4 linked regions of the Astyanax mexicanus genome follow. The protein of the gene in region 3 purifies or fractionates together with the protein of the main gene of each other region. This does not show direct contact. Links are inferred from orthologs where the notes say so. Each region holds a gene or a part of one and is shown on either strand. Other genes may lie near its edges.

Evidence for each region.
Region 1: the proteins of cdk1 (region 3) and ccnf purify together in Homo sapiens (affinity purification with mass spectrometry; 3 studies listed by BioGRID, with this or other methods). This does not show direct contact. The link is inferred for Astyanax mexicanus from reciprocal best matches to the Homo sapiens genes CDK1 and CCNF.
Region 2: the proteins of cdk1 (region 3) and cdkn1bb purify together in Homo sapiens (affinity purification with mass spectrometry; 8 studies listed by BioGRID and IntAct, counting the BioPlex papers as one, with this or other methods). This does not show direct contact. The link is inferred for Astyanax mexicanus from reciprocal best matches to the Homo sapiens genes CDK1 and CDKN1B.
Region 4: the proteins of cdk1 (region 3) and ccnd1 purify together in Homo sapiens (affinity purification with mass spectrometry; 4 studies listed by BioGRID and IntAct, counting the BioPlex papers as one, with this or other methods). This does not show direct contact. The link is inferred for Astyanax mexicanus from reciprocal best matches to the Homo sapiens genes CDK1 and CCND1.

What each region holds. Positions count from the first base shown.
Region 1 is NC_064426.1:40,349,054-40,356,095, forward strand, and holds the start of ccnf (cyclin-F), read left to right. Parts: upstream 1-4,041; 5' UTR 4,042-4,236; coding exon 4,237-4,249; intron 4,250-6,881; coding exon 6,882-7,036; intron 7,037-7,042. UniProt on the Homo sapiens protein: Substrate recognition component of a SCF (SKP1-CUL1-F-box protein) E3 ubiquitin-protein ligase complex which mediates the ubiquitination and subsequent proteasomal degradation of target proteins.
Region 2 is NC_064409.1:49,297,321-49,304,363, reverse strand, and holds the start of cdkn1bb (cyclin-dependent kinase inhibitor 1Bb), read left to right. Parts: upstream 1-4,040; 5' UTR 4,041-4,410; coding exon 4,411-4,807; intron 4,808-6,071; coding exon 6,072-6,190; 3' UTR 6,191-6,205; intron 6,206-7,043. Other genes in the region: yars2 (tyrosine--tRNA ligase, mitochondrial), read left to right, coding at 99-254, 675-845, 2,111-2,270. UniProt on the Homo sapiens protein: Important regulator of cell cycle progression. Inhibits the kinase activity of CDK2 bound to cyclin A, but has little inhibitory activity on CDK2 bound to SPDYA. Involved in G1 arrest. Potent inhibitor of cyclin E- and cyclin A-CDK2 complexes.
Region 3 is NC_064421.1:44,353,839-44,361,073, forward strand, and holds the start of cdk1 (cyclin-dependent kinase 1), read left to right. Parts: upstream 1-4,229; 5' UTR 4,230-4,387; intron 4,388-5,566; 5' UTR 5,567-5,579; coding exon 5,580-5,616; intron 5,617-6,165; coding exon 6,166-6,322; intron 6,323-7,235. UniProt on the Homo sapiens protein: Plays a key role in the control of the eukaryotic cell cycle by modulating the centrosome cycle as well as mitotic onset; promotes G2-M transition via association with multiple interphase cyclins.
Region 4 is NC_064423.1:33,877,845-33,885,662, reverse strand, and holds the start of ccnd1 (G1/S-specific cyclin-D1), read left to right. Parts: upstream 1-4,807; 5' UTR 4,808-5,160; coding exon 5,161-5,358; intron 5,359-6,934; coding exon 6,935-7,150; intron 7,151-7,588; coding exon 7,589-7,748; intron 7,749-7,818. UniProt on the Homo sapiens protein: Regulatory component of the cyclin D1-CDK4 (DC) complex that phosphorylates and inhibits members of the retinoblastoma (RB) protein family including RB1 and regulates the cell-cycle during G(1)/S transition.

The sequences.
Region 1 (7,042 bases), on a different chromosome or scaffold from region 3:
TAATATCTTATAATAATGACTTGGTCTTTCATAATAATGACTTACTACCACAAATATGACAAATATGACTGTGTCATAATAATAGCATACTTTCTAATAATATATCCCATCATAATGGGATATTATCCTGATTATGACTTACTCATAATCTCATAATAATGACTGAGGACCTAATAATTATGACTTAATATCTTATAATAATGGCAAAAGAATGTGTCACTGTTTAAATATGTGTCACGCATGCACTGTATTATATTAATGCCTCTGGTTAAATTGAATAAATGTGAATGTAAAGGATCGGAGAACAGTAATGAAAGTGTAATTTCTGTACGAGACGGACACCCTTTACTGCCATGCTGTTTCTGGTTGCCATGGAAACGCTTGAGCAGTGCCTTCAATCCTAATTTGGCATGTCTTGTCCACACAAACACACACACACACACACACACACTCACGGTCCTAGTAAATACGGGTCATTTGGTCGGGATGCTGAGAACCCTGATTGGAATCGCACTGCCTCTAATTACATGCTGCTTTTGTGTAGCACCTGGAAACAGAGGCAGCACTTCCTGATGGATCGGTTCTGTTCTCCCGGGCTTTAATTCACTGACCCGGCCTCGCGGGCACAGCATGAAAGGAAATCAATCCTCTAATCAATTTTTTTAAATGGCTGTTGGGCTTTTGAGACACAGTTGGTGTTAATGCAGTTTTCACATGGGGTTCATACTGAAAATCTGACCTGATGTCATATTTCTGATCCAGGGATTTTATGGCATTATTACAGAGCATTAGTGTTGAACAACAGTACGGGGTCTCACTGTCCTGTTTTTTTCTGTTTTAAAATCACCTGCATATTACACATCTCTTTTAGGAAGTGAGCATGGCTTCAACAGGCCAGTATAGTATCTGTACCCCCTTCTTTAATGGCCACGCTTTTGTAAGAATGTGTGCAGCATGTGGTTTTACATTGTTGATCTCAATGCACTTTTCTGCATTAAAAAATAAGAGACCACTTCAGTTTCTGAATCAGTTTCTCTGATTTTGCTATTTATAGGTTTATGTTTGAGTCAAATGAACATTGTTGTTTTATTCTATAAACTACAGACAACATTTCTCCCAAATTCCAAATATAAATATTGTCATTTAGAGCATTTATTTGCAGAAAATGAGAAATGACAAGAAACCAGTTCATATTCATAAAGTTTTAAGAGTTCAGAAATCAATATTTGGTGGAATAACCCTGGTTTTTAATCACAGGTTTTTTCATGCATCTTGGCATCATGTTGTCCTCCACCAGTCTTACACACTGCTTTTGGATAACTTTATGCTGATTTACTCCTGGTGCAAAAAATTCAAGCAGTTCAGTTTGGTGGTTTGATGGCTTGTGATCATCCATCTTCCTCTTGATTATATTCCAGAGGTTTTTAATTTGGTAAAATCAAAGAAACTCATCATTTTTAAGTGCTCTCTTATTTTTTCCGGAGCTGTATTATACTTTTTTTTAATTATTAGTTATAATAGGTTAGAACAGGTCTATGCTCTATACAAAACACGATCATGAAGTTCTTTGCACAAAATCACTCTCACATAAAGATAAAGAGATCTCACCAGCTTTATTCTTACCAGTTTCAGTCCCTTTTAGAATGAGCCATGTTTACGCTGATTGTTTACCACACATTATAGTTAGCTTGTGCTAAACAGCAAAACATGGGACCTATTTTAATGATCTATAGCGCATAGTGATCTATAGGACGTGTTTGTGTGTCTTTGGTATCGTGAGGGCACAAAAAATACGCCTTTCGTGGTTCGAAACTGTCAAAAGGCATGAACAAATTCTCTTAATTAATCATGGGTGGGTTTTGGGCGTAATGTGAAATAGACCAATCAGTGTGTCAGTTGTCATTCCCATTAAGAGGCAGGTGAGCTCTGACTTTGGCGTGTTCGTATCTTATCAGAGGATACTGACCTGCGTGTTCACAGGTCATTAATTGACTGTTGTCAGGGTTTAATCAGTCAGTGGAGCTCCTTTTCCACCTCCAAGATAGAAACGGTGTGGGCACAGCGGACGGTAGGTTCAGATCCCTCCCTCAGACCGAAATTGTGTTTCTTTAACTGATCTAGTGAGTGGGTAGATCGGTGAGGGGTGGAGCCAGGGTGGTTCTATGCTGGTTTCATTATTGTGACGTCAGCCACCCAAACAGCTCATAGAAGCAAATGATTCCTGACCCAAACTCTTTCAGCTGATTCACAGAAAACGAATGGCTGGATTTTTTTGGTGATTGGAGTGTTTATAGTGTTTATAGGGGCTGTTGTGACCCAAATGAAAATATAAAAGCATGCAAAAAGTAAATTTTACATAATATGCTGCTTCATCCATACAATGACAGATACTAGCATCTGGATGGTATCAATTTCTAAAAATAAAAATAAAAATAAATAAATACTGATTAATCTGAACAAACACACGTTTATGCACTGAAAAATCTCCCAATTCTTTAAATGGTTTAATGATATTATATTATGGGCTGCAAAGGGAGAAATGTGCAGTTTGCTGGCGGTGCATTTGTGAAAGTGAGCCGTCAGCAGTTTTTGATTGTCTTGCTAAAAGTCACACTGTCTGAAACCGAGGGGACAACTTCCTGTGGTGGGTTGTGGTAAACTGAGTGGAGGGTTCCAGATTACAGTGCACAGTCCATACATATGTTATATAGTTTAAGACTTAGTCAAACATCATATATTATAGATTCATATAAGACTGTAAAGGTTAATTTAATTGATATTGTCATATGTAAAGTTAACTATACAGCATTGTATACTGAAACTATCAGCAATAATTAACACAAGATCGCTTAACACGTAACATTTGTTTCATTAGTACTCATGCTGAATTCCATTTTAATTCAGATCTGGAAATTCCAAGTTCCCAGGAGGGAATTTTAGCTGGAATTCTTCACCCATGTCAGATTTCCTACTCAGACCAAATGAAATGACTGGATACACAGTAATATAGAAGTTGAATAAAACAAGAAGAACCAATTCAACTCAGGATTTCATGATTTGATTTTAACTCATGCATTCAATGTTAGCCAAATTCCACCCAAACTGGAAAAAAAGAATGAGTATAATTATTATTGTTATTTATATTATATTTGCTGCACTTTAATGAATTTAACATGTTAAAGCTCACTTTTAAGGCTTTAGTATATTTACCATTAAATCAGCTCATATAGTACCAGTCGAAAATTTAGACACATATTCTTGTTCAACCTTTTTTTGTATTGCTGTATTTAATTTATTAAAGTTGGAGCATAGAGTAAAGAAAAAGCAGTTATAAAGAGGCAGCATCTCTAGAACAGTTGGAAGTTTCCATTCCAGGTTCTACCTCATAAAACTAACTGATAGAATCAGCCAAGAGTGGACAAAGTTGGCATCAAAGCAAAAGGTCCAATCTTATCTTAAAGATTTTAATCTATAATCTATAATATTTAATATTAAACATATTTTGGTGTGTTTTGACTTTTTTGTTCATTTCATAACTGCATATCGTCACTGTCCAATGCAAAACAAATATCTCCAAAACAGCAACGTCTAAACTTTCATTGGATGTCAATGTAAAAATATTGTTTTCCATTTTAAAGTATTTCTATTGGTCCATTCATCAAGAATGGATCAATAGATGTAATCTAATCTAAACTATCCATCGTGTTTCAGGCTCTATAATATCCTGATTACTATTTAAAATCTATATTCAACACACTTTTACAACTTTTTTTAAACTTCAAATGTAAATCCCGCCCAAAAATATACCTTTAAATGTATCGACCAATAGCAACAACATGGGAAACGCGCAATTCGAAATAGCATCCGTCTGTCCAATCAGAGGAGCGGATTTCAGTATTCGAGGCATACACCAATTGTACGCCGACTTGTGCGTCTGCGCAAATCGGCGGGGCGGGGTTTTGAGGGGCGGGCCCGGATTGTAGCCTATGAGCTCCCGAGGTTGATGTTTAAACCTTTGCGCATGGGCGGGGCTAAGTGCCTGGGGCAGGATCTGAGGCTCAGGCGGTGTGCTTAAAATTAATCAACAGCCCAGCACTGGGGTTAGCGGCTCCCTGTAGCTTATACTGTTTAATATATTTATAAATATATTTATATATATTCAGAATTTAACTGAAAATTGTGTATAATTCACTAGTTTCGGGGACTAGTTACCAACAGGGCTCATCTTCTACTGAAATGAAAGCGGGCGGTAAGTGATTCAGATGAGTTTATCTGAGTTATGTTGATACAGTTAGCTTAGGTTAGCTAGCGTTAGCACTGATTCAGCTCCAATGCCTAGTGTTATTTAGTCAAACTGCCTATTTATGTATTTGTTTATATTTTCAAAAACATATTTCTGTTAATGTGGGTTGCTGATAACTCTGTTTAAGGTCTGATTTTGTTTAGCTAACATTATATTGTAGGTTACAGATAACATACAAGTAACCTAGGTTAGGTAGTTAACGTTAACTAGCTAGCTAAGGACTCAAAACTCAAACAGAAACAGCCAAGAATATAAAAATAATGACTTTAAATAAAGCTTTAGCTTACTCAAATCTTTTAAAACAATATACTAATCAATATAATCGCAAATATAGTTAACCTACTAGTTATAGCTTCTCAACCAGGAAGCTAAGCTATAGGTTAACCTTACGTTAGCTGTTGGTGGTTTAAATAAGTAAATATATCCCACATCATATAAAGACTTTTACTTGTATGAAATTTTCTTAAAATCTATCGAAATCTAATACTATAACCAAATTAAATTAATCATTTTAAATATAATGATTGCTAATGCTTCACAACTCTTTAGCCCTAGTTTTTAAGGAGGGACTTTTCAAATGATGTAAGCTAACTATAGCTTAGCTAGCTAACTAAGTTATAGCTGCCGCTGGTTCATATAATTACAGGCTGTATAAATGTGTTTTAAGTAGTTAAATCATATGATTTTCTTATTATTAAAGTGGGCTAAGGAATACTAAGTTAATTATGCAGCTTCATAGCTAAGTAAGTTAGCTATAACTGTTGTTGGTTTATCCAGGCTAAGTGACTATGTTTAAATATGTGGCTAAATATCTCTCATCATATGAAAATTCGGTTAAGTAGATGAGCATTTTAAGTGATATAAAGATAGTTAGCTAATGCTTTAAAACACTGTAGCCCTAGTTTTTTGTAAGGATGGACTTTTCAAATGATCTAAGCAACAGTTTGTTAGTTAACCTAGCTAACTTAGCTAGCTAAGGACCCAAAACCCAGCCAGGAACTTCCAAATAATACCAATAATTACCATTTTAAATATAACTTGAGCTAACTCAAATGTTTTTTAACAATATAACCTACTAGAATATGTAGTTATTAGTTATATCTTCGTATGGCTAGGGAGATGTAATTAACAGGCTATGTGACTGTGTGACTTTAAGAAGCTGAACTAAATAACGTTATATCTTGCATAATATTAAAGCTTCTAAGCAACATTTTATGAAATAACCCCAAGTAGGGTATTTGTTAGTTTAGCTGTCATTGAGTCTCCTTTAGAATTCATAACCAGCTGATTATTTTAAATATAATAATAAGTAATACTTTAAAACTCTTAAGCCCTAGATTTTAAGGAGGGAACTAAGTAGCTTAGCTTGCTAGCTATCTAGGAGAGCCAGTTATAGCTCACTAAAGCTGTTGGTATCTTACTAAATACAGGCAGTGTAAATGTGTTTTAAGTCGTTAAGTCATATGCTTTTCTTATTGTTAAAATATAATAATGTATAATAGTTTTTTTTAAGTAGCTTCATAGCTAGTTAACTACTTTCATATATTTATATGAAATAAACAAGAGTATTTCTTAGTTTAGCTATGGAGTCGCTCCAGAATTTATAAATAGCTACTAATTTTTAATATAATAACTAATGCTTTAAAAGTCTCTAGGCCTTGTTTTTAAGGAGGGACTTTTCATATGACTTCCGATTATATAACTTAGTTAAACTAACTAACAAACACTTTTCACACATACAGGCTAGCTATCTAGAACTATAACTGGTGGTTCATCCAGTTGGTAACTATGATTTGTGTTAGTTATCATCCATCATCATTGCTAAATTTTCTTCGTTATCAATAAAGTAACATTATCTGTATATCTGTCTGTCCATGATGCTAGGGCAAAACTAACACTCTGGATTTCATGTTAATGCTATTTCCCTACACTTCTATTATGTGTTTTATTTTGTATATTCATCTTGATATATATATATTTTGCTCTTATTTTACTTTCATTCTATTATATATTTATTTTGTTAAAAATAGTTTTTTGGGTGGAACTGGATTGTAAGATTACAATTTCGTTCCACCTTATTTACCACATGTGATGTGAGTGACAAAGTTTCCTTGAATGCCTGTAAATCATAGGAGTTCTTTATTGTGACGTCTATTAGGAAGTACTTACAACGTATAAAAACTTGTATTAATTACATTACATTTGGCAGATGCTTTTTTCCAAAAGCGACTTACAGTAGTGAAGTACAAAAGTAATAGATGTTAAAAACATCTTTATATAGGGCCTAAAGGAGGTCAAAGGGAGATAATGGGATAGAGGAGTGAAGGAAGGGAAGTAGTTAAAAGTAGTTAGTTTGTTAATCAAACCTTGCTAACTTGGCTATCATGAAGTCTCTTCAGAAACTTTTTTTTTTTTTTTTTTTAACAGAAGGACTTTTTCTAGTTAGGGAACTAATGTCATATCAAGCTATTACTGCTGATGGTTTACTATGGCAAAACTATTTCAGTTGTATGTAAAAAAAATCTTAATATATGTTTATTAATGTCTAAATCTAATTTTTCTCATTTTTAATTTCCAGTGCTTCACTGTCGGTGCTCTAAATGTTATTCTCTGCCTGCGAGGAAACGGGTCCGAAAGCAGACCCGCTCCCTGACCCTGCTGTCCCTTCCTGAGGAGGTTCTGCTGTATGTTCTGCAGTCCCTCTCCGCCGAGGATCTGCTGGCTGTCCGAGCTGTGAGT
Region 2 (7,043 bases), on a different chromosome or scaffold from region 3:
ATAAATAAAAAAACTAAGCAAAAGATGTTTGTGTTAGTCTTCCATGTGTGTGTGTGTATGCATTCGTGTTACTAAGCTACAGGGTCCTTCCCCCACAGCTACATTAAACTGTTCACCTTCTTGCCGCTGGCGGAGGTGGAGAAGGTGATGGAGCAGCAGAGACGGGATCCAGGCAAGAGAACGGCCCACAAACGACTAGCTGCTGAGGTTACCAAACTGGTACATGGCAAGGATGGTCTAGAAACTGCCAAAAGGTGAGAACATTTTTTATAACATCAATTCATACAGTACAATGCAAGTTAATAGAGAGCCTATTTAAGCCGTTGTGCCATGAACATGAATAAAACCACTAGAATGTATGTACAAGAGTGAATGCAAGAAAAGGTTTAAAATCTTAAATGAATATAATAAAACTTATTTGTGCATTTTTGCCCGTAAATATTTTGGTTTTAAAAAGATGTGGCTATTGACGTGCTGATTGGTTGGCAAACTGATTACGTCATTGGCCAAGACAACTATTAAAACATAACAGGAATGTGGAAGCATTGCGTTATTCTGTATATAAGAAAGATTGTAATTGTTTCATTAATCATTTACCAATTTCAAATCTCAGTGGAATGCAGATTTTGTTTTGAGCAGTGTAAGATAAACTCTGTGTGTTTGTATTTGTCCAGGTGCACTAATGCTCTGTATAACAGTAGCATTGAAGCTCTGGAGCAGATGGATGATGTGGAGCTGAAGGAGTTGTTCAGAGAAGCTCCGTTTAAGGAGTTCTTTTTGGAGCCAGGCACCACAGTACTGGATGCCTGTCGGAGGGCCCAAGTCATTCCTGAAGGACCTAAAGGGTACTTTTTAATTATTTGTTGATATATTAAACTGTACTGTTTATGCTGCTATCAAAACCCTGTTGCTCACCTGCCATTTAATTTGGAAGATATTGGGGTAGTTTCTCAGGCAGGGATTAAACCCAGGTTTAGATTACGCAGCATTTTCAATGGACAACTTTTCTTTGAAAGAAAATTATAGTCTACAACTAGACTCAGAAACTGACCTATTGAGTCCTGTTTACCATATTTTTGAACTGCGCACTGAATCATAAGGAGCACTATCAACAAGCGTCTATTTTCTGGTCTATTTTCATACATAAGGCACACCTTATTATAAGGCGCCTTAAGGAACACTAGTAAGAATGCATACTTATTAAGTAATAATTCAGTTCAGTTCTGATTCAGTTCACCTCTGAGGGTGCCTAGGTAAACAAAACTCTTAAAACCGAATTCTTTCAGAGTCAAACGAGCACTGGATTAGTGCTGGGCAGTATGACCGAAAATGTATATCACAGTATTTTTCAAGATTCTATCAGTGTTTTTTTTTTTTTATTCATTCATTGTATGACTAGGCTTTTATATAGGTTTGTGACTTAGGAGTACATAAAATAAAACACTAAGGCTTTAAATTAAGTCTTTGATTACTACTGGATCTAGTTTGTCTTACAAAATTAGACAATATATGAAGAAATCAGATTTTATTAGCAGAAAAACAGCTGAAGAATATAAACAATAGACCTTAAATACGCCATCATCTTTAACAGGACTTCCTTTTAAAAAAAATAGCTAAATATTTTAGTTCCATAAACACTATAAATGGACCTAAAATACTCATTAAGTATTCAAATGAGATATTTCTTAAATGTTCTATTGCACAAGTAAGACACAAGTTTAATATCAATTTACAATGTTTTTTTTTTAATCCATTAGAGGCATTAAAGTATTACAATCAGCCACAATTCCCTTCTTTCCCCAGTTAACAAATAAAAGGGCTATATATAGTTAGCCCTTTCTAATATGGGTGTTTCCATGTTGTACATTCAGTAATAAATTAAAGGACTGGGGAATGTGTTGTCTCCAAAAACGTTTATGTCTATGATGCTATTACAGATGTAATTGTTCTTTGTGATAACACGCCACCTTGAGTGTTTTATTGTTCTACAGTAATTCAGAAAATAAAGACAGAAAGAAGCTTTGATATCAGCAGTTTCTTCTGAAATGTCTGTTCCTCTTTATAGCATTCCTTTTTATTATGTATTTATATACTATGTGTATGTTTTTAGGTTTCAAATGATAACAGACGGCGGTGTTTGGTTCAACCACCAGAGGGCATCCAACCCGGAGCAGGTCCTGGTTCCCGGACAGCATATACTTTCCAATGGACTCAGTTTGATCAGAGTGGGCAAGAAGAACTATTACATCCTGAAGTGGCTCAGTATGTGATTTACTTACACCGAAGCGAATGTCTATATTTATTTAAAGAAATATGGATAAAAGATGCAGTGTGCTGCACAATGACTAACAATCCATACACAAATCGAATTATGCGGGACCCACAAAGATTTTGGGGCGTGTCAGACCACTGGCAGGAGGACAAGCAAAACTACACTAAATCCTGAGTTGATATAGAGAAACAGACTGGCAGAGGATAAAAAGGAATGAAAGAGGAGAGTGTGCACATTTGTGTCTTTACACACTTGTGTGCACGTATTTCAGAAATAGTTGTACTGTTTGTGTGTATATGTAATTCTGAATCACACCACCAGATGTCAGTAAAGGCCTTTTCCATTTTTTGTACAGGTTTTCTGTGTTTCTGTTTTATATTTATTGTATTATGGATGCTTTCCAATTAATTCACTCTATCTGCTTTAGGACCTATTCATCTTTTTATGATCTTTAACTTTGTTAGAATGTCTTTAAAAAAATCAACTGATCTGTTGAACTGTTTCTGATGCAATTCTTTTCAGTTATGTCTTACAGCCCATATTTTGCTTACAGCTAAAAACACGTTATACTAACAGCAATAAAATAAGGTTATATAAGAATTTTAGGATGGCCCAGTCGTATTCCATATGCTAAAATAATTTTTGCCCAGTTTAATTTTTACACTAGTTGGACATTTCAATACTGAAACTGTAGTTGGTTATAAATACAGTATAATGTACACAATGAGAATTTGTCTTACTGTAAGCATGGTTATGGTTTAAAAAAACTGAAAGTTGGAAAAATAAGAAAGGAAAATGGTGTGCCACTGACTTTTATGCAGTTCAAAAAGTGTGTACTTTGCCTGAGCTTTTAAAAAAACAGTAAACAAAAAAAGAAGAAAAATATTATTTTTCCCCCAAACAAACACCAACAAAATCCAACTTAAACCTAGGTAAAAATGCTGTGAGTGTGGGTTTCTGTGCTTTGCTCTGTGAACAGTAACTGTGTTACTCTGTTTGGCTCATTGAGACACACCTATGTCCTAATCAGAGTAGTAGTATTCCTGGAAGAGTCATTTCACTGGTGAACTTTTCACTTCCAGGAACAGACACAGTTCCATTTTTGTTTGCTACGTCTCTTTATTTCTCTCTGTCTACGGAATGCCCCAAATGACTCAGTGTTCGGTATTTCATATTTAAAATTAAACATAACCAGTAACAAAAAAACTGTGCAAATGTTACATGTGTTAATAATTAGACTAACATACTTTTGCTTTTTAATTTAATCAGCATGTAAAGTCTTTTTTTTTTTTTAAACTCCTGGTGTTTTCATGTAGCTACAAACCCCCCAGAGATGATGCATGTGTTTTTACAAATATACTTTCTAGCTTTGGTTGGTTTTGTTTAGAGCTGAAGCTGGATGTGGAGTTGTTTTATTCAGGGATCTATTCAGGAGTGTCAGTAACAGGGTTTTATGAACTGCAGTTGCTCTGGTTGGTTATAATTATTTTAAGAAGAAACAGAAGAAGGCTGTGTGCAGCTTGTGTGGACGGTGTTGGAGAGGTGGTGTGTTGGTTGTTGTTAGTGTAGTAGTAGTAAGCCTACCTTGCAGTGCTGCGTGTGTGTCTGTTTTTTTTTTTCTCTCTCCTCAGGGTGGGGGAGGTGCGCTGTGCCGGAGGAGCTCAGCGTAGAGGGGGCGGGGCCTGTGTCGTCCAGCCAATCAGCGAGCACCTCCGTTTAAATAGCTCTTTGTGTCAATCATTTTTCTCTCCACTCAGCCTCCCCTCTATCGCCATATTGGGCACCGAAAAGCCTGCTGTTATTTTCTTCCCTTTTACTACGAGGCGAGGCTGACAGGAGTGCGCACTTCGTCTCGCTTTGACTGCGCTTTGTTTTGATGGTCTGTGGAGGGGAATTTCTCTCGGCGTGTGTTTTTTCCTCGCGCTCTCACTCTTGCAGAGCATGCACGCGCTTGTGGCGAGTACAGCGTGTGTGAGCGTGAGCGTGCGTGTTTTTCTGGATGCCTGCTGCTGTTGTTGTGCAGCGCGTTGAGCCTGGAGGAAAGCGCCTGTTTTGAGTCGCTGTTTGTATCGGTTATTTTGTGGGTTTTTTTTTTTTTTTTTTTCACACGCCAAAAAATAAATAAAAATAAAAGAACGATGTCTAATGTGCGTCTCTCGAACGGAAGCCCGACCCTGGAGAGGATGGACAACCGGCCGCCCGACCAGCCGAAGCCGAGCGCCTGCAGGAGCCTGTTCGGGCCGGTGGATCACGAAGAGTTAAAGAGGGAGTTAAAGGGACACTTGATGGCGATGGAGAAGGCGTCGACCGAGTCGTGGAACTTCGACTTCTCCAACTTCACGCCTCGGCGCGGCCGCTACCTGTGGTCCCCCGTGGACAGCACGGACTTACCGGGCTTCTACAGCTCGACAGGGAATAAGAGCGTGGATGTAAACGGGAATCACGAGCGGCTCGCGGAGCGGAGCGAGACCCAGACCGAAAGGAGAGACCCGCAACAGAACGTCAAGAACAAGAGAAAAAGACCGTCGTCCCTCGGTACGCAGTGCTAGATCTTATTTTTGTTTCTTCTGTGTGGCGAAGTGAAGTTGTTTTTATTATCTTGTGTGGCGAGTAGAAAACGTAGCTAGCTAACGAGTTAGCCAACTAACCTAAACTCTAACTAGCTAGGTTAACCGACGTATGTAACGTAACGTTACGAGTGTGTGTTAAAGTACCTTAGCAGAAAACGTAAATTACTATTTTAGCCAACTAAACTAAAGCTAGGTAGCTAGTTATCTAACCAACACGCGTACGTGTGTTTTAGTCCGTGTTAAAGTACGTTAACTAACGCTGCGAGCTGTCGTTAGTTTTTTCGTAATAAGTGATCAGCGTTCACAACCTCTTCATTTCAAAATGTAACGTATCCAGGTAAACTAGCGCTACTAGCTGTCCTAGCTAACGTTAGTTAAGTTAACAAAATTTTAACTCTTAATTTAGTAACGTATATTTATTAAAATGTGTTACTGATAAAATGGCGCTTTTACAAGAAAAGTAAAAAAATATAGTAACTTAGTTACGTTAGATATAATATGGCTTTATAAACTATCTCCACTAATTTAAATAAAGATAAAATAAACGTATTTTTAGTTGCATTAGATACATATTTTTAACGTTGAAGACAAAAAATCATTAACGTTAAACCTATCATTCAACTTCTACCCAATATTATTTAAATGTCAATGTCTACACTGCAAGAACACAGTACAAGGTATGATATATAATGTAAACAAGAATAACATACATGTTTGATGTAACCTAAGTAACTGTTATAGTTTAATACAAACAGTTGCTACATATTAAAACAACGTTAAATCAACCTTAAATAATCGCTGCGCACGAACAGATCAGTCCTTACGTCTGAAACTAACGTCGTTTCAGAGCTTTAAAGATGGAAAAATGAACGTTGGTTCAACGTACTTTTGCTGTCTGGCTACTATTTAATTGCTATTTATATAATTGCTCTGGTTTTAGTTTGTGTATTATATATTTGTGTATATATAGCTATAGCAGAGCCGGCCAGGCAGTTAGAACAAAATCCTACCTGTACTAATAGTAATAGTAAAATACTTAACTAGCCGATCTAGCGTTAGTTAGTTTATCTACATTTAAAACTCCACAGCTCGCTAACAAATATACAATGGTCACAGTCTAATAGGTACTTCTTTTTTGTTGGAGTTAGTCAAACATGTCTAGCTCCATTTGTAGCCAGAATCCCTCATTGTGTGTTTTATTTATTTTTTTTATTATCTTTCTAAATTAGATTCCTCGTGTCAGACTAAACGCTCGCGCACCTGTGTGGATGAAGTCTCGTGCCGGCCGGGTTTGACCCAGGCGCTCGATCACACACCCGTGAAGTCGAGCCCCCAGCGGCAGACGTGAGCGAGCCGTGTTGAGGTAAGGAGAGCACCACGTCACCTCACTGTACTCAAACACCACGAGAGCTGATACTACACTCACTGATGGCTATCTGTGTACTGGTCAAAGTGGATCAAATTACACTCCCTCGCTGAATTTTACAACACTGTTTAGCTATGTTCATTTATATTTGCCCAGTTTGATAGGCCTGTCACAATAATTACATTATTGACTTATCGCACAGTATTATGTACATGACCTAAATCATTTTCACTGACCTCAATGTTGTCTGTTGAATCTACTTGGCTCACATTTTAAGTGAACGAGCCATTTGTTAAAACATTTTTTCTGTTTCTGTGTCTGATGAATATATTAAAATCTCTTTCTCATTAAAAGTAATGTGTAAATACTTTTATTTCTATTATCATTAAATCAATGAAATAAAATAGTCTTAAAATTACAATAATATCATTGCTATTGTTTGTGGGGTCTATTACGAATTGGTTATCGTGACCAGGCTTACACCCAGTATTGTAGCAATAGATTCAAAATGGTTGCACATAAACAAAAAAATAAAATTAAGGTAAATGTTTTTACCTTTTGGTCTTAGGTGCTGGGAGCTGGATTACCTTTTGTTTTGTTTTTTTGTTTATATGATATATTTTTTTATTATTTTATCTTATTTTAAACATTAAATGTATTATAATATCTCTTAACTCGTCTTAATCACTTGTCTGCATTCGAGTTAAGGATTCGCATGTTTTCTTCACTCCTGCCGTGCCGTATGTTATCAAACTTTGAGCATTAAATGTCCTTTCCATATTTCATTATGTTTAAATCTATTTATGATTTGTGCAGCTACAAGGCTGTATTTTAA
Region 3 (7,235 bases):
ATGTCTCAGCTGACCTAGAAGTTAAATGTGTGTGTGTGTGTGTGTGTTATTACACATTGTAATACCAACAAATCAGAAAAAGCAAATAAGTAATGTCTTTCTCACATGTATTTGATGGCAGACCGTATAAATCCAGGGTAGACTTAATTTATTGGTATACTCAGTAGAAAAAGTGTTGTAAGAAGGAACAGTAACATTACAAAGTGGGAAATGCTTTGGCATTGCCTTTTTGGAAAGTGTTGAGGCCTGAAATGCAGGAATGGATGTTTAATAACACATAAAGTTGAAGTTGAGCAGATAAAACATAAAATATCTTGGGTTCATACTGTTTGCAATCAAAGTCATGATAACTCTAACATATCTAACTTTTGTGTTGTGTTGTAAACCATGATATATAAAGACATACATTACTCATCTATTGGCTTTAATTAATTTATTATTATTTACAATCCATATGAATCCAGAGCATTTTTATTTTAAGTTATTGTTGCTTTTATCTAACAGGCTCCTTTATTCATCAGTACATGATGGTCCCCTCAGCCAATTAGAGCACAGTAAATCTGCATATAAATGTATTTGGGATGCTGGAGTGAGGGTGTGTTTAATTAAACTCAGTTCCTCTGGGTCTGGGTCTGAATGAAAGCTTTTGTTCCTGTATGAAGGGAATGATTTCTCTGCAATTATAAAATCCTGCTGCGCTCCAGTGCCTCTATTGTGTCTGTATGCAGGTCAACTAAAGCCAAAAAGCAAATACCCAAAAATTCCCCAGTCCCCCCTCTTCCATTTAAATGTAGTCAGAATGTACCTGCTGGACTGTCTGAGGTGAAACAGACTAAAACTAGAATAAGTTTCTTCAGCTTCACTTGGCCTGAAACTTATTATGCATCAGGATCATATTCTCTGCCCGTCACTTACCTAAAATATAAAGGTATTTATATAAAGGTTTATTTGTGATAAGTGCCACACTTAACCCTTGTGTGGTGTTCGGGTCTGTGGGACCTGTTTTCATGTTTCATCAAATGATACTAAAATATATTTTTTCTAACTCATTTTTCTAACGCATTGGCTCATTTTTTGTGAAAAACATATATCAAAACACATTTTCGATAATCACACACTGTACACCCCCCTCCCCAACCATTTATATTACATACAGTATATTTGGCCAAGGGCTAATAAACATTGCTTCATTTGTAAATTTGAAACTAAACAAATTTTCTACTCATATCTTGAGTTAAATTCATTTTCTTTTACATTTTATTAAAAAACTAATAAAAAAAAGAGTAGCACTTTTTTAAAAGAAATGTAACATAAGAAAGGTAAAGGGCAAATATTAACCATGTAAGCTGTTTATATTGCTTGCAATTTAGGTGAAGCAAGCATGTGTAAAGCATTTTAATGTAAAAATTGCTTAATTTTGCTGAATTAAATACAAGTAACAAAGTAAACGAGTAACAAAAATATGAACCCCACACAAGGGTTAAGGGAAAAATCATTTGTGGTGTAGTGAAACATGATAACTAGTACAAACTTTTGTTGAACAGCCCTCCTCCTTTTGCCCCCAGCATTCTGAAATGCAGTGCTTTTAGCTAATGCTCCCAACAGGCTTACAATGCTAGTGATAAAAAGAAATCCCTATTTTAAAACCAATAACATGCTCAATGTAGCTCCACACTTTGAAAGTGCACAGGTAGTTTATTTTAAAAGACTGTTTATACTCACAGTACCTTGCCATCTAAATTCAGGTGGATTAGCGCCCCTTTAATGGTGCAAATATAGCGCTTTATTTGATTGGCAACACTATGCCCCTATTACTAGCATTGGGAGCATCAGCTATAGGCGCCGTATTTTGGAATGCTGGGGACGAATGGAGGTGGGCTATTCGCCAAACGTTCATAGCCATTATCATGTTTCACAACACCATTATGTCCATTACACCACTACAAGTTAATTTTACAGTGGGTTTCTCCTTTAAGGTATTTCATGGTCACATCTGTTTTGCAGCCAGCATTATCCAAACTTATTTTTGCTTGCTTTTTTTAAAAGGGTACATAATGTGTGTAATGTGTAATGTTCGTCTTCTAAAGTAGTATGCTAATGTAAACCTCACATTTTAAGCATTGTTTTGGTTTAGTCAGGCTTGTACACAAGTCTTGTTAAAACTGCGAAATGTTAAATGGTCCACTTTTTCCGCAATATTTTAGCATTTTATCAGAGGTTTATGACAATAACACTGATTATTTATTTGTTTTTAAATAATATTTCTAGGACTATCATTGTTTTTGACAGGCAAAATGTGTAATACATTAGTAGAAAGTTGTTTTAATGGGAGTAAAATGTGATATCACTACAGTCTGCTGTGCTAGGAGGAACATTTTTTAATGACAGCCAGTTTGTCTTTTGTGTTAGGGGTCTTCTAATTTTACTATAACACAGTGTCACAGTAACAGTACCTGTAACATAGCGCCTTTGGTGTGTGTGTTTACCTTTACCCAATAATGGCCTGATCATGACCGTCTGGAAAACAGGCTGTACAGAGGAAACAGCGACTCCACTGGTGGCCCACAGAATTACACTACACTTATGAGTCGTGCTGCAGTGGCCTCGTGTGGCGGCGCGCGATACCCATACCTGTCAAGTTTTATATTTAAAAATAAGGGATATTTTCCTCCGTCCGCTTAAAGTCGTCCCACCAGCCCAACCAAGATTTAGTATTCCTTACATTTTAAGACAGGTTTACAAGAAATCTAAAATAACCACATGTGAACCACTTACACACTAAATTTAGATTATCAGAATCTGATATACCTCTGCGCTCCGCGAAACCAGCAAGCTGATTGGCTGTTTCTCCTGAAAGGCGAGACTTTCTCCTTGAACCGGCACCACGATTGGTTAAGAGACACAGATCGGTCAGTGCCCTGTCTCCTCAATAATAAAGTTTTTTTAATTTTAATATAATACGGGAAATTTACGGGAAAATATTAATACGGGAGGACGGCGGGAAAGAGGAGTAAAATACGGTAGTTTCCCGGCCAAAACGGGAGACTTGACAGGTATGGCGATACCTCATGTTGTAAACAACTCCACATTAGTGATTAGAGGGCACATTTCAGGCACCACTAATGTCCAAACACTACCCCTTAATGATCCATTAGATACACACACACACATGCATAATTAATACACTTAAAGGAAGGGACCAGTGCAATCTGTCTTGTGGTCCTCTGAGGCTGGGTCAATGTTTTATAGCTGGCGAAAGCCTATACATAATGCAGGTTTGCCCCTATGTTTTAATGTGCCCTATGTTTGTTCTATGTTTACAGTGAATAGTTAGATTAAAAAAATAACAGTTATTATTTACCCTATATGTAGTTGGTTATCTGTGGCATATTCTGTGTCCATGTTAGTGCTGGAATTACAAGGCCACACAATATTATAGTCTCATACTGAGACATATTTCCCATATTGGTAAATATCTGGATGTCCAGTTAAGAGTGTGCTGATAAAAAAAAAAAAAAAAAAAACGGGTGTCGGGTGTTAATTGGGTCATATTGTTAGTGTGAGTCATGCATATATATGTACCAGTTTTAGAACAGTTCACTTTTTTTAACTTTCCAGTAGCAGTGCTGTATGGCCCGTAAAAATTTGTTTTTTCATTATTTTGTCATCTTAAAATTATCTTAGCAATGACTTTATTGTTTCACTTTACCTGAACAACTGAGACCTAATCCAATGTATGTTAAGCTTAGCTAAAGATGTTGCATGTTACATGTTCCAGCACTGCTTTACTACAGTTTATTTTTATTGCTACAGACCAGTGCTAAGTTTTTAACCAATGACTTCTTTCCAACCACCCCTCCCTATTTTTGTTTAATATATGTTTTGTATATGCTTATTTTACAATATATATTTTCTTCTTTTTTTAATAAACATTTTTTCCTTTTTTAATGATTTACACAACCCTTTTTGGTGTATTTTTACAATATACACACACACACACACACACACATATATATATATATATATATATATATATATATATATATATATATATATATATATATATATATTTTTTTTTTTTTTTTTTTTTTTTTTTTTTTTTTTTTTTTTCAGGTATGGATTTCGTGACATTATATCCTTCGGTCGCGCTGTAAAGTACACCACTCCCGCCGGAGCTCTTCCTCCACCTGATTGGCCTGTTTAAAATCTGTCAGTGTGCTGTGATTGGTCCGTTTTGAATTGCGTCAGCGCGGTCAGTTTGAACGGGAGGAATTCTCCAACAGACAAGTTTACCCTCACTCTTACATACACACACCTTTACACACACTCACATTCACTCTTTTTCACACACTATTCTGCCGCCGGACAGCGTGTTTAGAGGACGCGGGTGAGTGTTCGGGCGCTATTTTCTGCGAATGTTTTATTTGGTCCGTAATAATGTTCAGTTAAAAGCGGAGGAGTTAGCATCAGTGCTAACTGTAGTCAGATCCGCTTCAGCTTTAACTCTAGCTGTCTGCCTAGCGTTAGCTTAGCTTAGCTCGGTCAAATCTGCTGTAAGTACAGTTGGTTTTTTTGTTTTAAGTAAACATTAGCTAAATCATTAAAACGAGTAATAGTTTGTGTAGCTTTTTATCTAAATTAGATAACCTAGGTTAGGTGACTTATGGAGGACAGTGACAGGAGACTGTATAACCATGAAGCCCTAATTTCTGCTGAAGTCTTCTTTGACATAATTAATATCAAATGTATAACTAACTAGTTAACAAGCTTAGAAAGACAGTTTATCACAGGCTGGTGTGTGTGTGTAGGTTTATGAGTGTGTGTTAAACGGTTTTATGTACTTAATATGACATTAAAATGGTGTAGGTTAAGTTCTGTAATTAGCTACAGTGGGACTCAGTTTGGGCTGTGTGCCAAAAAAATAAAAAATAACTGTTAAGTTTTTGTTGTTTAGTTAAACTATTGTGGTTATAATAAACATTTTATCCGAAGGGCTGTTCAGAAACAGCAGCTACTGTAACACGACTGAGCCTGAACAAGAAAACAAAAGGCAGTCAGAATATATAATAGATACAAATATATATATACAGGTAAATCTTATAGAATAAAATGCACCTTTTTTAGATGTTGACATAAAATGTCAGGATAAAGTAACTAGCTAATTACATGTGTAGCCCAAGCTCTGTAATGCAATGTTAACTACTGTAACACAAATGGACTTAAGCAGGAAAACTACAGTGTAAAGGCAAATGAAACCCCATTTTGATGGCTTTTATAAATACCAAGATTGGATGTTTGTTTGAAATCATGCAGTCAGTATATGTGTAGTTATTCATGTTTTTAATAATAACAATAAAATCCTTTTTAATGCAAATGTAATTGTTTACTGCGTTTAGTTTAAGCCACGGTACGTCTGAATCTGATTGTCTTGTGTGTCTGTGTGCATAAATACAGTTGTCTTTAAAAAAAAAAAAAACTGTACTGGTCTATACTGTAATTTTACAAACCTTATGACATTCTACAGCTGCAGAAATTTTTAAAAGACTGAATGTGTTTCTCTCCACAGAAAACTGATAAAAATGGAAGACTACATGAAAATAGAGAAAATTGGAGAAGGTGAGTGATAACTGTGCATTAGTATCTTCAGAAACTAGCCTGACTCTGATTTATATTATTCAGCTCTGGAAAAAGAGACAGCTTAAAAATGCTTAGTTTCTTAGATTCTACCAAATTGAAAACCTCTGGAATATAATCAAGAGGAAGACTGATGATCAAACCAAGCTAAACTGCTTGAATTTCTGCTCCAGGAGTGGCATAAAGTTATCCAAAAGCAGTGTGTAAGACTAGTGGAGGAGAACGTGCCAAGATGCATGAAAATTGTGATCAGAAAGCTCTGCATCTTTTTTTTTTTCTATTTTCTGGAAATAAATGCTCTAAATTAATTTTTTTTGGGGATTTTGCAGAAATGTTAAAACAATTTTCATTTTACTGAAACATATACTTTTAAATAGCAAAATCAGATAAACTGGTTCAGAAACTGAAGTGGTCTCTTTTTCCAGAGCTGTATTCAGTGTGTGATCATATTGTAACCAGCAGTAATGCTATATTACGTACGTTAGTCTTATTGGTGGTAAGAATTGTCCTGTGTGTGTTGTCCTGTCTTAGGTACATATGGAGTTGTGTATAAAGGTCGTCACAAGTCCACGGGTCAGGTGGTGGCCCTGAAGAAGATCCGCCTGGAGAGCGAGGAGGAGGGGGTCCCGAGCACAGCCGTCCGAGAAATCTCTCTGCTCAAAGAGCTTCAGCACCCTAACGTCGTACGGTGTGTACACTTGTATATCTATGATGTGTTCTCATATGCTTATACTACACTTTTATTTAGGTAATTTTTTTTTTTGTGTTTTGTTGGCTCAAAACTGAACATGAAAAAAAAATAATCAAAGTATATTGTTTTGCTATATGTATAATTTTGTCAAACAGTACTGATTATTAATTATTCCTTTATATTTAGGAATTTGTTAATAAAGTTCACTCTTGTTTAAACCATTTAATCCCTCTAGGTAGAAGTGTTACACTCCACTGTTGTGATTGCATTAAAAAATACAATTCTTTTACTTATAGTATAAAACATTATGTATAAAATATCACTTTAATTTTTTTTTATTTAAACAAGTGCAGTTTATTGACTTGTTTACAGTATCTGATATAGTGTGACATATTGATATATTTATTTGCATAAATTGTACACTTATTTGTGTAAAGGTTTGCTGCACTATATCCAATTAAACAGGAGTTACAACAATCAGGTTTATTTAGTGGCATTATCCACGGTGTTTTCCAAAAAGCAAAAGTTCATGACAATAACTGTGTCATAGTACCCTAATATAGACCTGCAAACATGTTTATATTTTGTCTTACAATATTCTAGTTTGAAAAGCAAGTTTACAGCGTAGTACCTGCTTAAAAATATGATAATGACATATGATTAATCACATAATATTGTGTAAATTTAATACAGCTAATTGTTTTGATTGACACTGAATTATTATTTAATTTTCCCAATCGAACAGTGATTAATTTATTTATATTTAAGTATTCACTATTTAAAGCTTAAGGAAATCTGGTAGATCACATGGTTTACACATATTTAAACTGGTGATTTTTAAGTTTTTTTTGTCCTCTCCCTTCTTCCTCAAGTAAATAATTGTTCATTTGTTACTGCCCATTGGAGTTAT
Region 4 (7,818 bases), on a different chromosome or scaffold from region 3:
TGTAGTGACTGCATAACACAGTACTGTACTTTTACTTTCAGTACTTCACTATTACATTTTTACTAAACTACTTGCAATACCTAAAGTAAGTGTGGAGCTTAAAGAGCACTTCAACTTCTACTCTCATCGCTTTTTTGATTAGAGCACTTTTACTCAAGTCTGAGTCTCTAGTACTTTATATATCTGGTTACTGTTGAATATTATAAAAGATATCAATATAACAATTTTGTGTCCACAGCATAGTTGTTTAAATTACATACAAACCCAGTCTAACATTTTATTTTTCAACATTTACTCTGAATTAAAACATTTCACTAATATTATGGAATGTTTCCTTCACTTTGAAGAATTGTGGTACATTAGATACTCTTCTCTTTGATGTGGATGGCAGATTGTTTGGCATGTCCCCCATGCTGACTTGTGAAACTAAATATTTCTTCTAAAATACAAATAGGTTCTTGTCCCTGTGATTAAATGTTTATGCCTGCCTATTTTTCCTCTCCAGCAGTACGGACTGGTCACTTGCTGCCTAAAACATAGATCCCAAACCTAGACAGCTGCCATTGTAACCAGACAGTCTATATTATTTATGTTCCCTCTCTGTGGTATTATTGTTATGGCTAATTGACGTATATGCATAAATAACATGCAAATGGTATTTATGCAGGCCTTCTGAGTTAATGACAGGTATTATTTGTTTGAAAATAATATTAAAATACATGCAAAGAAACAGTACAATAGTTATGTGTTAGCATTTATAATCCATTATATGAGGTAAACATTATTTAAGGGTTTCGGTTCCAAAATAATTTAAAAGCCATTTAATCATTTTTAAAGTTGTTGAGAGTTAGCTTAATGCATACATTTTAGCGGTAAACTCTTACACACACTGAATAATAAATTACTTAGTATATATATATATATATATATATATATATATATACTTTTGCACTAAACATACTTGACCATTCATCCTTACATTGCATACTAAATCAAATTCTATATTGTACATACCTAAAATTAAATATATTTTTTACCTTTCAGTATTTGTTTCCTTTATTATTCTTTCATTAATATTATATTTTATGTTATTATTTGTTATTAAATGAGATCTTGTTTTTTAAAAGTTATATAGTTCATCCTATTATCCTAGCTTTTCACTCTTTATATCATATAAACTTTAATTCAATTAGTTAGAATTTTTAACCATTATTAGAACAATAATTGTGTTTTTATTTTGTTAAATTATGTTTTAAAACAGTGTATGTGTAACAGATATTAAAAAACACAATCCTGTGTTCTTCACTGCAGTCTTTAAAATGTATTATATTAATAAAATAAGTGTTTATTGTATGTGCGGCATGTGTTTTACTGTAAAGGAGACTTTTTACTCCAATATAATGTATTGCACTCTGTTATCTAAAAAATCTAGTCAAGTCAAGTCAAGTAGTTTTATTGTCAATACTGCATATGTACAGGACATACAGAGAATTGAAATTACGTTACTCTCCTTCCCAATTTTACAGCAAGTACAGATAATAGATATAGTAAAAGAGAATGGGAGAAATTATGGGTACAATACAGCAGGGACACAAATAGACATACATGAGACAGAAACAAGGTGCAGTGGTGTGGGGAGAAATAGATATATAAATATAAGTAAAAAAAGAAATAGATATATACTATAAAAGAGTGGGAGACACTATATGTACAATACAACAAGACACAATAAACATACGTAAGACAATAGTGCAATATTGATGGTGATTGAGATGGAATGACAGTATAAATAGTATATATCAGTAGTGCAAATACGGTATATGGTATATAGCTTAAGGCTGGTAAAGTGAATGAGTGCGTAAAGTTCTTAAAGTTCACAGTTTATGGGGAATTAAAGTGCGAATTGACAGTGCAAGTATATCAGTAGTGCAGGTTTGGGTGTGTAGTGCAAGTCCGTTTGGAAGGGACCAGTACTTTGTGCATTGTAGTGCAGAGTTTCAGTACTGTATTAGTGGGGGGTCAGGATTCTGAGTGAGTGAGTCTATTTATTGTTATCTATTTATTGTTTAGGTAACTTTTTTCAAAGTGTCCAAATAACGTACATTTTGTAGGAAAATTAAATCAATGTCAGATAATCAAAAACAATTGATTATTAAGGTAAGTTTTTGTGTTTTATGTTTAATTAAGTCGTTAAGTTTAATTGAAAAGTTTAATTGAAATCGCTTTTTAAACAGCTGTTTTTTCTCTGAAACTCAGAGAATGTCCTTTCAACTTGCAGAACAGGCCAGCAGCAATACTACACACATTCATTATTTCTGTAAAAAAAAAAAAAAAACTGCCATATTTTAATAACCCTTAGTTTTTAACCCCCTGGTTTTATGACACAACATTATACAGCTGTACTTAAATAAATGGTAAATTCACTAGTTACAATAAAATTGTAACTCAGTCTGAAGTATCATCTGAGTTCACTTTTATTCATGCTTAGCTGGAGCTCCCTGATCAAAAAAAGGAACATATTGAAACAACGTTCATTAAAAATATCTGAGGAAATGAACGAATGTAGCAACACTGCATCCAGTTCTTCTTTTAAATGAAGAAATAAAACACTGCTCTGCATTTATGATGCAAGTCTTTTAAACTCTGAGAACATGTGAGAATGGTCTCTGCTGAAAGGGACATTTGCAAGGCCTTAAAACTTTCTATTCAGTTTACCGTATTAGCAGGAAGAGCAGCACAGGCACAAACTCACATGGTCTTTCATTCAACAAAGACTCTGTGTTGTAGCTCATGCATGTGGGTGCAGGGTGAACATGCAGAACAATGCAGAACTATATATAAACTGTGGAATCGGTTTTAGGATATTTGGATGGGCTTACATTTTAGCAAGTAACAGGTTGAGACCCACTTACATGCATATGATTTATCTTTTTCAGATTATTTATCTATGTCTTGTTTAACCTAGAGGCTTTTTTTTCTTTATATGGTTTATCTAACGTTAAATTAACATTTTATTAGACCTTATACAATGCGTGCATATAATCTATCTCAGACTTTTAATACATATCATATGTACTATTATAATTATAATTATTCAGTAGTAAATTTATAATTATTCAGTAGTAAACATGGAAAAAGCAAAGCAAATATGGGTAGGCTTTCTTGAGTTATATGATTCTTGTATTTGGTTATTTAATTTAGAAGGGTTAATGTTTACTGTGAAAATAAACTATGATTATAAGTACTTTAAAACAGCGCCTTCTACAGATATAATACAGCTTATAATATGTGAATAAAAATGTAACAAAACATTAGCAAAAAAACATACTTTATATATTTTTTTAGTTTCAAACTGTTTAGCACTTCCTTGTTCGTGTCATGCTGGTATGTAACTGCTTTGTAGTTGCTTTGTTACTGTGTGAAAACTTTTGTGCCCTTTTCCACATTTACAGCAGTGTTTTTCTGCATTTTAAACAGCCTCCTTTTTTAACCACGGTTTAAAACTTCGTATATGCAGCGAAACAGCTCCGTGTGCAATCTAAAACAGAGTTTAAAAAAGTTTACATTGTTTATGTAAGAAGCAACAGGCAACTTTTCTTTCCGTTTTTTTTAGCGCGACTGTATTAGATGTTATACGGTATCCAAAAGTGTCCAGTCAGGAATGTGAGGAATTTCAAAGGCTCCAATTCATCCCAGCGACAGCCAGCAGTGAGGTCTTTAAAGTGAGAGCGCCCCTATTTGAGCAAAACTGTTAACATCACACACTCACACACAAGTCTGAGACTTGAGAGACGCATAAAAAATAGATATATATATTTAAAAAAAAAACTTATCATAGATCCCTTAAATAAATCTTTAATATTTTTTCGACTTGTCTACTTTAATTAGAAATAACTTGAAATTATTTGATGTAATGTTTTTAACTTTTTTTCCCCTTTTCTGATAATGCAGAGTGTTAAACTGCGAGTCTCTTTATTGACTTCTGTCTTTACTTTTCTCTTCCTGTCTGTGATCAAACTGCGGTAGTTGTTGTCTTTTTGTCTCTTTTTACTTTTTTCACATTCCCACACACGTTCACCCAATGAGGGGCTGAGATAAAAAGCTCCACAGCTCCAGCCGCAGTTCTGCCTGGCAACTGAAGTTTGCGCTCATTGGTTCACGCTAATTTCGGCTTCCTCCTCTTTTTCTCTTTTCTTGGTGTGGAAGACAAAGAGCTGCTACAGCGTTTAAAACCTCATTTCCCCTAAGTTTCACAAGTTTTATGGCAGCCTGTATCTAAAAGAATGCGCCACAAGAGAAGTAGAAAACGCATTTACAAATACAATTGTAATAGAATGGCAGCATTTGTTTTTATTTTTTAATCACACAGTTTTATTTTAAACTTATTTTTGAGCCTATAATATTACTGTAGAAATTGTGAACATGCATAAACGCACTCTAATAACGCACTAATATACTAATAATAAACCTAAAGCCTGACAGTTTCTAGAAAGTCCAGCTCCATTGCGCTTTAACTGATAATAATTAGGGTCGGTGATTTGTCCTGTTATACCGCCCCCTACCAACATTTCTAGACATTTACACATCTTTACACCACCACCACCAAAAGCACCAAAAGCACCAGCAGCACTCTCTCACTCATACTCATTTGATACCCCCCCCTCCCCCTCCAGCCTAGCTACACCTCCTCCTCCTCAAAAGCCCCCTCGCTCCTCCTCTGTTGCCTACCCCCCACCGTCTACCCCTCAGCCGTTCGCCACCCGGGGTAAAAGTAAAAAAAAAAGGACCTCCCATTTCCACACTGGCGGCAATAGAAACGACCACAAAGTTCTCTCTCCTTCGTACACTCCCTCTCTCTCTCTCCACCTCCCTCTCTCTCTATCTCTCTCAGGCCGCGCGCGGCGCTTTGATCTTCCTTAACAACAGTCACGTCATCCAAAGGATTTTTTTTCTTTGGTCAAGCGGTGGATTTTTCTCTCTCTCTCTCTTTCAGTCTCTCATACAGACAGACGCACACTCTCTCACACACTGAGTATAGCAACCGCAGCAGCAGCAGCAACAACAGCAGCCGCAACAAGAGCATCATCCGCGGGACGCACGCTTTAATCAAGTGCTTCAATTAAATTATCTGCCGCTAAAACTGTGATTACCCCGAAAATCATGGAGCACCAGCTGCTGTGCTGCGAGGTGGACGCCGTGCGGAGAGCCTACCACGACACGAACCTGCTGAACGACCGAGTTTTACAGACCATGCTGAGGGCTGAAGAGACCTACCTCCCCTCTCCAAACTACTTCAAGTGCGTTCAGAAGGAAATCGTGCCTAAAATGAGGAAAATCGTCGCCACATGGATGCTGGAGGTTTGTGTTTTCAGACAGAGGCGTTTTAATCCCATGTCTTTAACATTGCACAACTTTTTTGCGCTTTATTCTCTTCCTCTCCCTTTCTCAAGACGATTCTCCTCACGCTCTTTGGACCTCTATCTCTCCGCACAGGCCTGGTAGAAACCGGAGGAAACGCTTTAAAAAAACATTCTCTATCAGTTTGTCACGGCTTAAAAGCTATAAAAGTGGATTTTAATGCTCGAAAAGTGTCCGAAATACACTTTCTAAGCCACTTTGCTTTTTTTATTTTGAGAAAATAAAAAAAACACCTCAGGAAAGTAAGTTAGCTATAGGAAGTCTCGAGCGATTTTTTTTTTGCGAGGAGGTCTCCTTTCCGCTTTAAAAAATAAAAATAAAAAAGCCTCGCAGAGATGTGACCACTTTCGCTTCGTTTTCTTCCCCACCCAAAGAAAGATCCTCAAAAACATTTAATCGAATTTATTTCGATTTAATATCGATGTACACGTATGCAATCCCACTCGTGCCAGTAGCCTATTATGCGCCATCTTTGCTGCCGCGCCGACACAAGTTCTAATAATATGTTAAAAAAACACCTCAAACGATTATAACATTTGAAGACAATGTGCGAGAATCACTCTTTATCGCACATTTAACTTAGTGTTTGGGGACTGAGGTGAATTTTGAGGTGCAATGTAGTGGTTTAAGCTCTTAAAACTTTACTTTCAGTTCAGACACGAGCCCCTCCGCTTGTCGGCTTCTGAAGCTCCAAGACGTACAAAAATGTTATTTTTTACGTTTCTGAAGCCGAACACAAGCCCGAAACGGTTCGGGTTCGGTTCCTTAGGGTGTGAGGCGGATTTAGACGTGTATAAAGTGGGGTTTAGTGCGCAAGAATAATTTATATTAATTTTTCAAAGCGCGCTCGCGGCGTCGAGCATGTCCTTCAGTCCACATTTTCACTGTCGGTGACATTTAAATTAAATTTACCCCTTTAACCTTCACAAATTCGACGTTTTTCGATCGGAAGCGATAGAATATACGTCAAAGGATATTTAGAGACTATTTAGGTGCGCCGCAACAATTTTGTTATATTTTTAAATATTTTTTGAAAAGATGACGAACTAGAAATTGTGACGACACCTTTGTAGCATTCTGAAGGAAGCAGCCGCTGCTAGCATGTGCACCACTGCTCGCGCTCTCTAGAAAGCCTCTGGTGCTAAAGCCGTGTTATCAGCTAGCTAATGCTTCTCTTTAATCTAATTATTAATACATTTATTTGCACTGCAATAGATGGATTTTTTTTAGGCTTTTCAGTATTAAAGCTATGCCCGGTGCACACAAAGCACGTGGGACTTCCACAAGTCCATTTTTTCCGAGAATAAAATTTTTTTTTTTTAATCAGGCCTAATGTTTAATGTCTTCTTTTACAAATACTTCGTTTAAGACTAAGTGCAATCAATCTCACTGCTTGTCTTTCTTGTATTTATTTTCTTCTTTTCTTACATTAGAAATCATATGTAAGTTGTCGGCTTTATGGCTTTGTTTCTCAACTTTTGTGACTCCTGACTCAAAAACTCTTCTCTCTTTTAAGGTGTGTGAAGAGCAGAAATGTGAAGAGGAGGTTTTTCCCTTGGCTATGAACTACCTGGACAGATTCTTGTCTGTGGAGCCCACTAAGAAGAGCAGGCTGCAGTTGCTTGGAGCTGCCTGCATGTTCCTGGCCTCCAAGATGAAGGAAACCGTTCCTCTCACAGCTGAGAAGCTCTGCATATACACAGACAACTCTATTCGTCCATGCGAGCTCTTGGTAATTAATTACATTAATTATAACAACACAGTAATACACTGAAGTTTATGAGGTTGAGAGGGTTAATCACTCTTGGGAGCTTTTTTTGCTTGCATTAAGGTTTTGCAGGATGCATGCAGTGTTGCAGTGCAGTTCTGCATTTTAGTTTTTAGTCATAGACAAACCCAGAAAGTGAGAGAGAGAGCGTTTCAGAATGGAAACTCCCTGCATGTCAGCATTTAAATGGTTGTGGGTTGAAATGTACTGCTAATTGAATAGCTTAAATCAATTGAATAGCACAGTGCTATTGTAGCTCCTGAGATATGACCCCATCTAGTGGTCGACCGTTAGACTACTGACTGCTTCTGCTCAGTGAGAGCACACATGGTGGAAGCGTGAAGAACTTTTTGAAGTCCTTTATGTAAACCGCCGCTCTGTTCTCGTGTGTCTTTCTCACAGCAAATGGAGCTGCTGGCGCTGAACAAGCTGAAGTGGGATCTAGCCTCAGTGACACCACACGACTTCATTGAACATTTCCTCACCAAGCTGCAGATACACCAGGGCACCAAGCAGATCCTGCGCAAGCATGCCCAGACGTTCGTGGCTCTATGTGCAACAGGTATGTATGCGTGATCCACATTTATACCTCTCTCTCTTGTTTTTTTCTTCTTTTGACCAATATGTTTTTG